4 linked regions of the Saccharomyces cerevisiae S288C genome follow. The protein of the gene in region 1 interacts with the protein of each later gene in a biochemical or structural test. Each region holds a gene or a part of one and is shown in the gene's direction. Other genes may lie near its edges. The genes, in order: SED5, BET1, SEC22 and SLY1.

The links.
Region 2: the proteins of SED5 (region 1) and BET1 form a complex in vitro, tested with the Saccharomyces cerevisiae proteins (4 studies listed by BioGRID).
Region 3: the proteins of SED5 (region 1) and SEC22 form a complex in vitro, tested with the Saccharomyces cerevisiae proteins (5 studies listed by BioGRID).
Region 4: the proteins of SED5 (region 1) and SLY1 form a complex in vitro, tested with the Saccharomyces cerevisiae proteins (7 studies listed by BioGRID, with this or other methods).

What each region holds. Positions count from the first base shown.
Region 1 is NC_001144.5:194,950-198,343, reverse strand, and holds SED5 (t-SNARE syntaxin), read left to right. Parts: upstream 1-1,871; coding exon 1,872-2,894; downstream 2,895-3,394. Other genes in the region: aspartate transaminase AAT2, read left to right, coding at 259-1,515; ESCRT-III subunit protein SNF7, read right to left, coding at 3,170-3,394. UniProt on the Saccharomyces cerevisiae protein: Required for vesicular transport between the endoplasmic reticulum and the Golgi complex. Acts as a target organelle soluble NSF attachment protein receptor (t-SNARE).
Region 2 is NC_001141.2:347,427-350,221, reverse strand, and holds BET1 (Bet1p), read left to right. Parts: upstream 1-1,716; coding exon 1,717-1,727; intron 1,728-1,858; coding exon 1,859-2,276; downstream 2,277-2,795. Other genes in the region: iron-sulfur cluster assembly protein CFD1, read right to left, coding at 219-1,100; protein disulfide isomerase EPS1, read right to left, coding at 2,425-2,795. UniProt on the Saccharomyces cerevisiae protein: SNARE required for targeting and fusion of ER-derived transport vesicles with the Golgi complex.
Region 3 is NC_001144.5:678,564-681,418, forward strand, and holds SEC22 (SNAP receptor SEC22), read left to right. Parts: upstream 1-1,636; coding exon 1,637-2,281; downstream 2,282-2,855. Other genes in the region: BOP2 (Bop2p), read left to right, coding at 1-1,361; DCS1 (5'-(N(7)-methyl 5'-triphosphoguanosine)-(mRNA) diphosphatase), read left to right, coding at 2,623-2,855. UniProt on the Saccharomyces cerevisiae protein: Nonessential SNARE involved in targeting and fusion of ER-derived transport vesicles with the Golgi complex as well as Golgi-derived retrograde transport vesicles with the ER.
Region 4 is NC_001136.10:836,359-840,927, forward strand, and holds SLY1 (syntaxin-binding protein), read left to right. Parts: upstream 1-2,033; coding exon 2,034-4,034; downstream 4,035-4,569. Other genes in the region: chaperonin-containing T-complex subunit CCT6, read left to right, coding at 63-1,703; RVB1 (RuvB family ATP-dependent DNA helicase pontin), read right to left, coding at 4,246-4,569. UniProt on the Saccharomyces cerevisiae protein: Able to suppress the functional loss of YPT1. SLY1 is essential for cell viability. May interact indirectly, or directly with YPT1.

The sequences.
Region 1 (3,394 bases):
ATTAATGTTTTCTTACTGTTTAATGCGATGTACATATTGTCAATACTAATGGTCACCACTGGAAATGGCTATCTTTCGTCTTCGTGAATAACGATCGCCGAGAGTCGGACCGAGTGAGTCAGCGTGATCGGCCTCATTTACCTTGTCGCCTTGCACGTCGGTATATAAACGTATGTGGATACTTTAAGAAGGGAAAGCGCAACCGTCCAAATTCTAATGAACAAAAGAACACAGGAATACAAGAACACAAGAGCGATAATGTCTGCCACTCTGTTCAATAACATCGAATTGCTGCCCCCTGATGCCCTTTTTGGTATTAAGCAAAGGTACGGGCAAGATCAACGTGCTACCAAGGTCGACTTGGGTATCGGGGCCTACAGAGACGACAACGGTAAACCATGGGTCTTGCCAAGTGTTAAAGCCGCCGAAAAGCTAATTCATAACGACAGCTCCTACAACCATGAATACCTCGGTATTACCGGTCTGCCAAGTTTGACATCTAACGCCGCCAAGATCATCTTCGGTACGCAATCCGATGCCTTTCAGGAAGACAGAGTAATCTCAGTACAATCACTGTCTGGTACGGGTGCTCTTCATATATCTGCGAAGTTTTTTTCAAAATTCTTCCCAGATAAACTGGTCTATTTGTCTAAGCCTACTTGGGCCAACCACATGGCCATTTTTGAGAATCAAGGCTTGAAAACGGCGACTTACCCTTACTGGGCCAACGAAACTAAGTCTTTGGACCTAAACGGCTTTCTAAATGCTATTCAAAAAGCTCCAGAGGGCTCCATTTTCGTTCTGCACTCTTGCGCCCATAACCCAACTGGTCTGGACCCTACTAGTGAACAATGGGTTCAAATCGTTGATGCTATCGCCTCAAAGAACCACATCGCCTTATTTGACACCGCCTACCAAGGGTTTGCCACTGGAGATTTGGACAAGGATGCCTATGCTGTGCGTCTAGGTGTGGAGAAGCTTTCAACGGTCTCTCCCGTCTTTGTCTGTCAGTCCTTTGCCAAGAACGCCGGTATGTACGGTGAGCGTGTAGGTTGTTTCCATCTAGCACTTACAAAACAAGCTCAAAACAAAACTATAAAGCCTGCTGTTACATCTCAATTGGCCAAAATCATTCGTAGTGAAGTGTCCAACCCACCCGCCTACGGCGCTAAGATTGTCGCTAAACTGTTGGAAACGCCAGAATTAACGGAACAGTGGCACAAGGATATGGTTACCATGTCCTCCAGAATTACGAAAATGAGGCACGCATTAAGAGACCATTTAGTCAAGTTGGGCACTCCTGGCAACTGGGATCATATAGTAAATCAATGCGGGATGTTCTCCTTTACAGGATTGACTCCTCAAATGGTTAAACGACTTGAAGAAACCCACGCAGTTTACTTGGTTGCCTCAGGTAGAGCTTCTATTGCTGGATTGAATCAAGGAAACGTGGAATACGTGGCTAAAGCCATTGATGAAGTGGTGCGCTTCTATACTATTGAAGCTAAATTGTAATGATTAAATAATACTTATACTTACCTATTACACTCTTCATATTTTTTTTAATGTAAAGAAAGTAAAAAAAAAAAAAAATAAAAAAAAGAGAAATGCTCTTTCTTTACCTTCACAGGTGTATTATTATGTTGTTGTAATATCCGGGTAGGTTTATTGATCGAGGCGAGGCGAAAGGGCATATTCGAAACAATCATTATGATAATAATGTCAATATAGAAATTGAAAAAAAAAAAAAAATCCTACCGCCGCATCGACGCTCCTGTTAGACCTTTGAACGGAAATCACCCACTCTTTACTGTATATATTTTATTCCACCTCTGTTTCCAACGACCATTTCACCATACCACACAACTCCCATGAACATAAAGGATAGAACTTCAGAATTTCAACAAAGTGTGTTGAGTTACAAGAAAAGAAACAAAAACTTTAGAGAACAGCAGAGGGAACGTCTACAAGAGAAAGAAAGTGAAAACTTTGCCAACAACACAACCGGCAATGGGAAAAGTGTCTCTGAGTTTCAAAAAAAGGCTTCTGGCATAGCTCACGAAATTTCATCCACCGCACAATTATTATCGAAATTAGCAGTGCTGGCCAAAAGGAAACCGATGTTCAATGACAACCCTGTAGAGATTGCCGAGCTATCATTTTTGATCAAAAGGAAGATTTATGCCATCGAACAAAGTTTAGTGCAATTAAGTCAGCTCAAGAAAACCGACGTGAATGGCAACACATCAAATCAATCTTCTAAGCAACCTAGTGCCGTACAGCACTCCAAAAATGTCGTAAATCTTTTAAACACGCAAATGAAAAACATATCAGGAAGTTTTAAAGACGTATTGGAGGAAAGGCAACGACTAGAAATGGCTAACAAAGACAGATGGCAAAAACTAACCACCGACACTGGACATGCACCAGCTGATGACCAAACGCAAAGCAATCACGCCGCGGACTTGACCACGTATAACAACTCCAACCCATTCATGACCTCACTACTAGATGAATCCTCAGAAAAGAATAACAACTCGTCCAACCAAGGAGAACTGTCTTTCCCTCAAAACGACTCTCAACTAATGTTAATGGAAGAGGGACAGTTATCCAATAACGTCTACTTACAAGAAAGAAATAGGGCGGTGGAGACAATAGAATCCACAATCCAGGAAGTGGGAAATCTCTTCCAACAACTGGCCTCCATGGTTCAAGAACAGGGCGAAGTAATCCAAAGGATTGATGCAAACGTAGACGACATCGATTTAAACATTAGTGGTGCTCAAAGGGAACTTTTGAAATACTTCGACAGGATAAAGAGTAATAGATGGTTAGCCGCAAAGGTTTTTTTTATAATCTTTGTATTTTTCGTTATTTGGGTTTTAGTCAATTAAAAGCAAAGTAAAAGAAAAAAAGATACATATTTGATTATTTATTTTTTTTCCTTCTCTCATCTTTTCTGTACAATAATATAGCAATAACAGATAAAAATAATGAATGCACATTCCCTTCTATACCTATGAACGCAAAAAAAAAAGACAACAAAAAAATAAAAACTATTAATTATGACTTAGCATTATGAACTTCATGTATATAAAAGAGCGTATACAGAACATGGAAAGTAAGAACACCTTTTTTTTTTCTTTCATCTAAACCGCATAGAACACGTTCAAAGCCCCATTTCTGCTTGTAGTTCTCTTAATGCTTTTTCATCTTCATCTTCTTCATCCTCTTCCTCTTCCCCGTCCTTCACAGAGTTCTCACTTTGTTTAATTTTATTACTTGGAACACTAGGTAGTGAGACTTTGTTCTCTGAGATAGGCGCCGCATTAACATTATTATTAACGATCTTGGACGTTTCTTGGTTAGCATTTTCTTGAGCCAGCATGTCCAA
Region 2 (2,795 bases), on another chromosome or scaffold:
AAATATTATTTCTTTGTCAATATTTACCCGGCCTTTTAAATTTGTATCACCACTTGAAGAACATGCTGCAGTTGCCGGTTAGCTTCTAACCACCTTTCGATATAGGAATCGAAATAGGAATCGAAATTTATTTCTAGGCCCAAGGATCAAAATATAAGTGTATATAAACACACACACACACATATATATATATATACGTACATGCATAGGAGAGGATCTTATTTTGGAGATTCTATCTGGGGTTGCTCGTGTTTATCCACAACAGGGGTTGTAGTGTCTTGTTTCCTCAGTTTCTTCATTATTTCTTCAAAAATGGGACAAAGAGATGATTCTCTGTACATTTCTACAAGCGTTTTTTTACTTGAAACTTGATTCTCAATCATTTCTACAAATTTTGGATCTATAGGAACGTTACCAAGGTATGGGACAGAAAATTGCTCCGATAATCTTTTACCACCCCCACTGGAAAAGATATTTGTACACTCAGCACAATGCGGGCATACAAACCCTGACATGTTTTCAATTATACCGAGGATCTTTAAATCGACCTTCTTGCAGAAATTGATTTCTTTTTTGACATCAGCTGTTGCAACACTCTGTGGGGTAGTTACTACAATACCACCATCTGGTTTGGAATATCTCAGCTCCTCTGCAATCGATATATGTTCATCCGACGTTCCCGGAGGGGTATCGATCAGTAAGTAATCCAGTTCACCCCAGGCGACGTCAGAGATGAATTGTTTTATCATAGAAGTCTTCTTAGGACCCCTCCATATCACGCTGTTCCCTCTATCACCTAGTAGAAACCCCAATGATATTACACTAAGAGAGCCAGTAGAGTTTGTCTCCACTTTCACAGGTTGCCAACCTTCAGGACCTTGATATATAGATTCGTTCTCTAGGCCAAACATCCTCGGTAAGGATGGCCCTGTTAAATCAATATCTAAAACTCCAACTTTGAAGCCCATACTGCAAAGAGTCAGCGCAGTCTGTGTCGTTACCGAACTTTTACCGACACCACCTTTTCCGGAAAGGATCAATATGATATGTTTTATTCCTGCCAAAGAGGCCGCAGGAACGCCTATCTCCTGTTCCTCCATGCTTAATTGTAATAGTCGTATTAGTTTTGGGTGCTCCTCGACGCATGTGTATAGTTTTCATTTTGATGGTGTAAAACGTTCATGACTAATGAAGCCTTCCGATTTCTTTCCATTTTGCTATTACTTGCGCGATGAGCCGTCTAATGTGATTCTTCCAAATAATATCTAATAAACCCATGGTGTTTACTCTGTGATAGGAACCAAAGATCCCGTAATTATCGCTTTGTAATTGTATTTCCAGTTATTTCTGTACATTCTAGGTTACTGTTCAGGGATATGTTTCACTCTTATCGATGTGGCGTGCAAAAAATTTGAAGGGGCGACATATCAGGGAAAGTATTAGTGATTTTTTATAATGTTGCACTATCTCAGATGAAATTTATGCATGCTAATTGGCGGATACTACTCTACCGTTGTTGCAAGCTACGTAGGAACGTTCACGGCTCTTTCTTCCATTAATTTTAAATTGCGAAAGTATCCAGTAGTTGTTAAAAATGGAGTTTTTTCAACTCGCGCCTTTTGCCAAGGAATGGTAGAAAACAAACAGTAGTTCACTTGAGACTGTGAATGTGTTAGAAAATGTGATTGAAGAGCCTCACAACACTAGGCTACACAGATGAGTTCAAGGTATGAGAAATTATTAGACTATTCTAAAGTTAGAGTAGCGCTTTTTGTTAAACATCTACCATAACACCTCGATATTGGGAGTTATTGACCACGAGTGAACTTCGTTTACTAACTATAGCGTGTGTATATAGATTTGCAGGGGGAAACGCTTATCAACGTGATACTGGTAGAACACAGTTATTCGGACCGGCTGATGGATCAAATAGTCTCGATGACAATGTATCATCAGCGCTAGGGAGCACAGATAAATTAGACTACTCCCAAAGTACTTTGGCATCTCTTGAATCTCAAAGTGAGGAACAGATGGGAGCTATGGGTCAGAGAATAAAAGCACTCAAGTCATTATCGTTGAAGATGGGTGATGAGATTAGAGGCAGCAATCAAACTATTGACCAGCTTGGTGATACTTTCCATAACACTTCTGTAAAACTCAAAAGGACTTTTGGAAACATGATGGAGATGGCCAGAAGATCTGGGATCAGTATAAAAACATGGTTAATAATATTTTTTATGGTAGGCGTGCTATTTTTTTGGGTATGGATTACATAAATATTTGCATATTGTACATTAAACCTAAGTGACAAAATAAGAGCGACGTTTGTTAGATGATTGTAGATATTGATACGTGAAATAAAGGATAGTTATGATAGCATCATAAGATATCAGCATTCTTTTATTTTTATAACTACTTAAGCGTTTAATCTTGATTTTTTTTTTTCTCCATATTTCCTAGGATACCGACAGCGTTCCTTTTCGCCCTATAGTGTTTCCTTACTTTGTATCTTCTGTAAATAGATGGACCTTTGAGTATTGCGATAAACAAAACAATAACAATTAAGTAACCGGGCATGCCGTTCCCGTGGATTATGTCTAGGAAACTGAGGACATTATGGAATGGAGAATTTATCAATCTCCCCTTCAACTTAGAGCTGTATAGAGCTTTTGATGGAATATTTAAGGACACGAATGCTTCTCTCAGCAATTGAGGGTTGTTAGAAGTCAAGGAGTTGCCAAAATTATCTTTATTGTAGTAGTAATTATTTGATTTATCAATGATAATCACATCAC
Region 3 (2,855 bases), 480 kb from region 1:
TTATTGTTATATTTGACGAATTCTCAGATTTGAAACTCATAGAAACCTTCTTCCCCTTGGCGAATTCCAATTCAAACATAATCGAGTTCGTATTCTGTGTTCGCAATATAAAGAGTTCGTTTTATTCACCTTTGGAAAAATTACATATTGCGAACATAGTCGCAGATATTGATATTAACACATTGTATCTGGACTTCGTGGATTCAAATATCTATTCGGATCAAAATTTCTTTGGGATTTTTGATCCCGATATTTTTCAGCTGATTAATAAAAACTATAGAAACTTCTTTTCTAAGACTAACGAAAAGGGGAAGAAAAGACCCCCCATTTGCAAGAAAATCTGTTTTCCCTTTGTTGAAACATTGAATTTGGATTATATGGCCCTTGATTCATTCTTTAATTCGATACTGCATAAACTAACAACAAAGATAAAAACATTTGAAAGGAACAATGAGTTTGACGTGGATAAAAATTTAAATTTAAACTCGACAACGACAGTAGCAGCTTTAATTATCAAGTCGATCTTGCAACAATTCTTCAACAATTTTCATATCAGCTTCCCTAATTTGGTTACCTTGAATTTTATTAAGATGTCTACCTACCCAAACAATAATGAGATTACCCAATGTTGTAACTTCATAGATTTATCTTCATATGTTCTAAACAAATGTTTAAGTGAGAATATCTCGATAAATTTCCTCTTTCAGTTGCACTCTTTGAAAAATTGGTCAATGCCCAAGATTAAAGAATTCACTGGGCACAAATTCAAGTATGACGAAACAACATTTTCAGGTTCACCAGAAAGGTACATCAAATCATTGAGGGGAAACATTAAAATTTTGCAAGAAATGGCAATTAACGAAACCAACGATGGTACTTGCTATTTCAGAGTCAAGTTGATACCTGAGGGGGTAGAAAAAACTCAAATAATCAACTGGATCCCCTTTACTTCTTCATTTAGCGATGATACCTTCAAACAAAGACACCATTTAAAGAGGCCAATGATTTGCTTGAAGAACAACTCTTTAAGATCGCTCACTGTCAAAATCATACGTATTGAAAAATGTTCATCCATCCGAATCCAGGGATTTTACCTACCAAATCTGCAGGAACTGTTCATCAACAATACCCTTTGCGACACCACCCAACACCAAAAACAAGCGTCAAATGATATGAGTTGTATAGAGTTCACTTCATGGAATGAACTACCACAATGCAAGAAATTGGGATTTGCTCAATTAGAGGACGACTCTAACTACGTTCTTAATATCAGTAACCTACAAGACCATTTACCAAATCTGGACCTGCGGGAGAGTTTCCCAACTTTCTTCGATATAAGACAGAAGTTTGTCGTGGTTTGAGGTCTAATTTTCAACCAAACGTGTTGTACTAGCATATATAATTAAATAAATTTCTCTAGTTATCACTTGATTTATCTAATAAGAGACGTCATAAACGAATTTTTTTTTAGCAATAAATCCTCAACGCTTTTTGTTTTCATTTTTCGGTCTTTTTCTACCATAGAAGATAAACAAGTAGAGCCCATGTAATATAATATATCTACAACCTATTATTACCCAAAACCAACAAAAACCCTGACAGTGACACCCCGTTACACACTCACAATTAAGTAGGGATGATAAAGTCAACACTAATCTACAGAGAAGATGGGCTGCCTCTTTGTACGTCTGTGGACAACGAAAATGATCCCTCATTATTTGAACAAAAGCAAAAGGTGAAAATCGTCGTTTCCAGATTGACACCACAGTCTGCCACGGAGGCTACTTTGGAAAGTGGCTCCTTTGAGATCCATTATTTGAAGAAATCCATGGTGTACTACTTCGTCATTTGCGAATCTGGATACCCAAGAAACTTAGCATTCTCATACCTTAACGATATAGCGCAAGAATTTGAACACTCATTTGCTAATGAGTACCCCAAGCCTACCGTAAGACCATACCAGTTTGTAAACTTTGATAACTTTCTACAGATGACAAAAAAGTCATACAGTGATAAGAAAGTTCAGGACAATTTGGACCAACTAAACCAAGAGCTTGTAGGTGTCAAGCAAATCATGTCCAAGAACATCGAAGACCTACTTTACAGGGGAGATTCTCTCGATAAAATGAGTGACATGAGTTCTTCTTTGAAAGAAACATCCAAAAGGTACAGAAAGTCCGCGCAAAAGATCAACTTCGATCTCTTGATCAGTCAATATGCTCCTATTGTCATTGTCGCTTTCTTTTTCGTCTTTCTCTTCTGGTGGATCTTCCTCAAATAGACGTCACCCCATCATCCCACATCACAAATCCCGATCAATTTGGTCCAAGTGTATAACATAGTCTAGTTCAGTATTAGTATAGTATGGCAATTTATTTGACATAATTACGTATTTTTCAGGCAAGCTGGCAGGTGACCCGCCGCACCTGCACTTTTTAGGGAGTCTTTTCAAGGATATCATCACTATATATCGAAGGAAAAGAGGCTTTCCAACTCTTTTGGATGATCGAATTGCCATCACTACTCTATTAACTGTCTGTGTATTAACTAAATAATCACATAGTATTAAGTTATAATTCCTGGAAAAAAAAAGAAAGCGAAACGACAAAATTAGCATATACCATGTCTCAACTGCCAACAGATTTTGCTTCATTGATCAAGAGATTCCAATTTGTTAGTGTCCTCGATTCCAACCCTCAAACCAAAGTTATGTCCTTATTGGGAACCATTGACAACAAGGATGCTATTATCACGGCTGAAAAGACGCACTTTCTATTTGACGAAACCGTGAGAAGACCCTCTCAAGATGGCCGCTCCACTCCAGTTTTATATAATTGTGAAAACGAATATTCTTG
Region 4 (4,569 bases), on another chromosome or scaffold:
TAAAGGTTAAGGGTGTGGAAGCAGTGAGAAGCAGAAGATTATAATATAAGTAGAGTAGAAGCATGTCATTGCAATTGTTGAATCCGAAGGCTGAATCGTTGAGAAGGGATGCGGCTTTGAAGGTTAACGTCACATCTGCTGAGGGCTTACAATCCGTCCTAGAGACCAACTTGGGCCCTAAGGGCACGCTAAAGATGCTTGTGGATGGTGCTGGTAACATCAAGCTGACCAAGGACGGTAAAGTGTTGCTGACCGAGATGCAGATCCAGTCGCCTACAGCGGTACTGATTGCTAGGGCAGCTGCCGCGCAGGATGAAATCACGGGCGATGGGACCACGACGGTTGTGTGTCTTGTGGGTGAATTGCTTAGACAAGCGCACCGTTTCATTCAAGAGGGCGTGCATCCGCGGATCATCACTGATGGGTTTGAGATTGCGCGGAAGGAGTCCATGAAATTTTTGGACGAATTCAAGATCAGTAAGACGAACCTTTCCAATGATAGAGAGTTCCTTCTGCAAGTGGCCCGGTCGTCGCTGCTAACCAAGGTGGACGCTGACTTGACGGAGGTCTTGACGCCCATTGTAACGGATGCGGTGCTAAGCGTGTACGACGCGCAGGCTGACAATTTGGATTTACACATGGTTGAGATCATGCAGATGCAGCACTTGTCTCCTAAAGATACCACTTTTATTAAGGGTTTGGTATTGGACCACGGTGGTAGGCATCCTGACATGCCCACCCGTGTGAAGAACGCGTATGTTTTGATTTTGAACGTATCTTTGGAATACGAGAAGACTGAAGTTAACTCTGGGTTCTTTTACAGTTCTGCGGACCAAAGGGACAAGTTGGCCGCTAGTGAGAGGAAGTTTGTGGATGCCAAGTTGAAGAAGATCATCGACTTGAAAAACGAAGTTTGTGGCATGGATCCAGACAAGGGTTTTGTTATCATTAACCAAAAAGGCATTGACCCCATGTCTTTAGACGTGTTTGCCAAACACAACATCTTGGCTTTGAGAAGGGCCAAGAGACGTAACATGGAAAGATTGCAATTGGTCACTGGCGGTGAAGCTCAGAACTCTGTGGAAGACTTGTCGCCTCAGATTCTTGGGTTTTCTGGCTTGGTCTACCAAGAAACCATAGGCGAGGAAAAATTCACATACGTTACAGAGAACACTGACCCCAAGTCTTGCACCATCTTAATCAAGGGCTCCACTCATTATGCCCTCGCTCAAACAAAGGATGCGGTGAGAGATGGTCTCAGAGCTGTGGCAAACGTTCTCAAGGACAAAAACATCATTCCAGGCGCTGGTGCGTTCTACATCGCCCTTTCGAGATACCTAAGATCTGCCAACATGAACAAGTTGGGTGCCAAGGGTAAAACAAAGACAGGTATTGAGGCGTTCGCAGAAGCATTGCTGGTAATTCCAAAGACTTTGGTGAAGAACTCAGGATTCGACCCATTGGACGTGCTCGCAATGGTGGAGGACGAGTTGGATGACGCTCAGGATTCTGACGAAACGAGATATGTTGGTGTGGACTTGAACATAGGTGATTCTTGCGACCCTACCATCGAGGGTATTTGGGATTCCTACCGCGTACTAAGAAATGCTATTACCGGTGCTACAGGTATTGCCAGCAACTTGTTATTATGCGATGAATTGTTAAGGGCAGGTAGATCCACTTTGAAAGAAACACCACAGTAATAAAAAATAATAATAATAATAATAATAACAAGAACACGAATACTAGTAGTAATAGTAGTCAGATACAAAAATTCTATGTAACATATTTTTTCCAGTCACTATCATCATCATCATATTTTGTATATATACATTTATTATATAAAATATCATACCAATTTTTGCCAAAGAACACCGTTTCCCTCTTCGCGTTGACCACAGTAATTGCAGAAACGACAAAAAAAAAACAAAAAAAAGAAGCACCATTCTAACTCAGCCTTTAATAACCTGACATGATAACTTATAATAGTCATTGCCAGTTGCTAAGTATCTTTGACCAAAAATCACAACATCATGGCTGTGGAGGAAATTGCGTCCCGCAAGGACATTAGTTTAAGAGATATGCAAATCTCTGCCATATTAAAAATGCTGTTTTTAAATAAGGATTTGAACAACAACGACAACATCACCACCATCACAGACGATATTTTTAACCAGCAGGAGATCATCTGGAAGGTGTTGATACTGGACATCAAGAGCACTGCTACCATATCTTCTGTTCTCAGAGTCAATGACCTGCTGAAAGCTGGTATCACCGTTCATTCCTTGATTAAACAAGACAGATCTCCCTTGCCAGATGTCCCTGCCATATATTTCGTCTCCCCCACAAAGGAAAACATTGACATTATAGTCAATGACTTGAAAAGCGACAAGTATTCTGAATTTTACATCAACTTTACCTCATCTCTGCCCAGAAACCTCCTGGAAGATTTGGCTCAACAAGTCTCCATCACGGGTAAATCTGATAAAATCAAACAAGTTTACGACCAATACCTGGACTTCATTGTAACTGAACCGGAACTGTTCTCACTAGAAATTTCAAACGCATACTTGACATTGAATGACCCGAAAACCACAGAAGAGGAAATCACGGGCTTATGCGCCAACATCGCGGACGGTTTATTCAACACTGTCTTAACGATCAATTCTATCCCCATTATAAGAGCAGCTAAGGGTGGGCCTGCTGAGATCATCGCTGAGAAACTGGGTACAAAATTACGTGATTTCGTCATCAATACCAATTCCTCCTCCACTTCCACTTTGCAGGGAAATGATTCTCTGGAAAGAGGAGTGTTGATTATTTTGGATAGAAACATAGATTTTGCCTCCATGTTTTCACATTCGTGGATTTATCAGTGCATGGTCTTTGATATTTTCAAATTATCAAGAAACACCGTTACTATTCCACTTGAAAGTAAGGAAAACGGAACTGACAATACCACCGCAAAACCATTAGCCACGAAAAAATATGATATAGAGCCAAACGATTTTTTTTGGATGGAAAACTCTCATTTGCCATTCCCAGAAGCTGCAGAGAACGTTGAAGCGGCATTGAATACGTACAAGGAGGAAGCCGCAGAAATTACTAGGAAAACTGGTGTTACCAACATATCAGATTTGGACCCAAACTCGAATAATGATACGGTTCAAATTCAGGAAGTCGTAAAGAAACTGCCAGAGTTAACAGCTAAGAAAAATACTATTGATACACATATGAATATTTTTGCTGCATTGTTGTCACAATTGGAAAGTAAAAGTCTTGATACTTTCTTTGAAGTTGAACAAGACCCTGGAAGCACCAAAACAAGATCTAGGTTTTTGGATATACTAAAAGATGGTAAGACAAACAATCTTGAGGACAAACTGAGATCGTTTATTGTTCTTTACTTGACATCAACGACAGGCTTACCAAAGGATTTTGTCCAAAATGTGGAAAACTATTTCAAGGAAAACGATTACGATATCAATGCTTTAAAATATGTTTATAAGCTAAGAGAGTTCATGCAATTATCAAATATGTCGTTACAAAATAAATCTTTGGAAGATGGATCCGATTCCGCTTTCAAACCAAGCAACTTAACATTATCCGGTATCTATGGCTTAACTGAAGGCAAATTACAAGGAGGTGTAGGAAGTTTAATATCAGGTATTAAGAAGTTACTGCCTGAAAAGAAAACCATCCCGATAACAAATGTTGTTGATGCGATAATGGACCCTTTAAACAGCTCTCAAAAAAATTTGGAGACTACTGACAGTTACCTATACATCGACCCAAAAATTACAAGGGGTTCCCATACCAGAAAGCCAAAAAGACAATCTTATAATAAGTCACTAGTGTTTGTAGTTGGTGGCGGTAACTACCTAGAATATCAAAACCTCCAAGAATGGGCACATTCCCAGTTGCATAATCCCAAAAAAGTCATGTATGGTAGCACAGCCATTACCACACCAGCTGAATTCTTAAATGAGATTTCTCGCCTTGGCGCAAGTAATAGCAGCAACAACGATGCATAATTGGCATCTAGCCCCAATGACGATACACTAATATATATATATATATATATATCTATATATCTGCAAGAAATAAGCGTGTGTAGTAAGTAAAAGGAAAAATAGAAATTTTTGCTCAAAAATAACGGTCCCATTTTGATACAATGTTTTTGGTTTAGTGATTTGCGTAATATTTATTTTTATTTATGAAATGTGCTTTAGGCTTTCTTCACTGTTACAAATAATTTGCGGAAGTTTCTAAAATCTTTGTTGACCTTTTGGCATCCAAAAACAGCAATTTGGCTTCATTAACGTCATTAACAACAATTTCCTTACGATTGCTTGTTTGTGCTAGGATACCACATGGTGCCAATAATTGTAAAGCGTAACGTAACGAAGTTTCTGTACCCATCGTGGCTAAAAGGTCCAATGCGCTACTTTCTACTTGCAATCTTTCAACGGTAGCTCTTCTCTCTATAATGGTACGGATCTCGTCCTTGTCATATGGTAATGTACGAACAATTAACAATCTATCGATCAAATCAGGTGGCACACCATG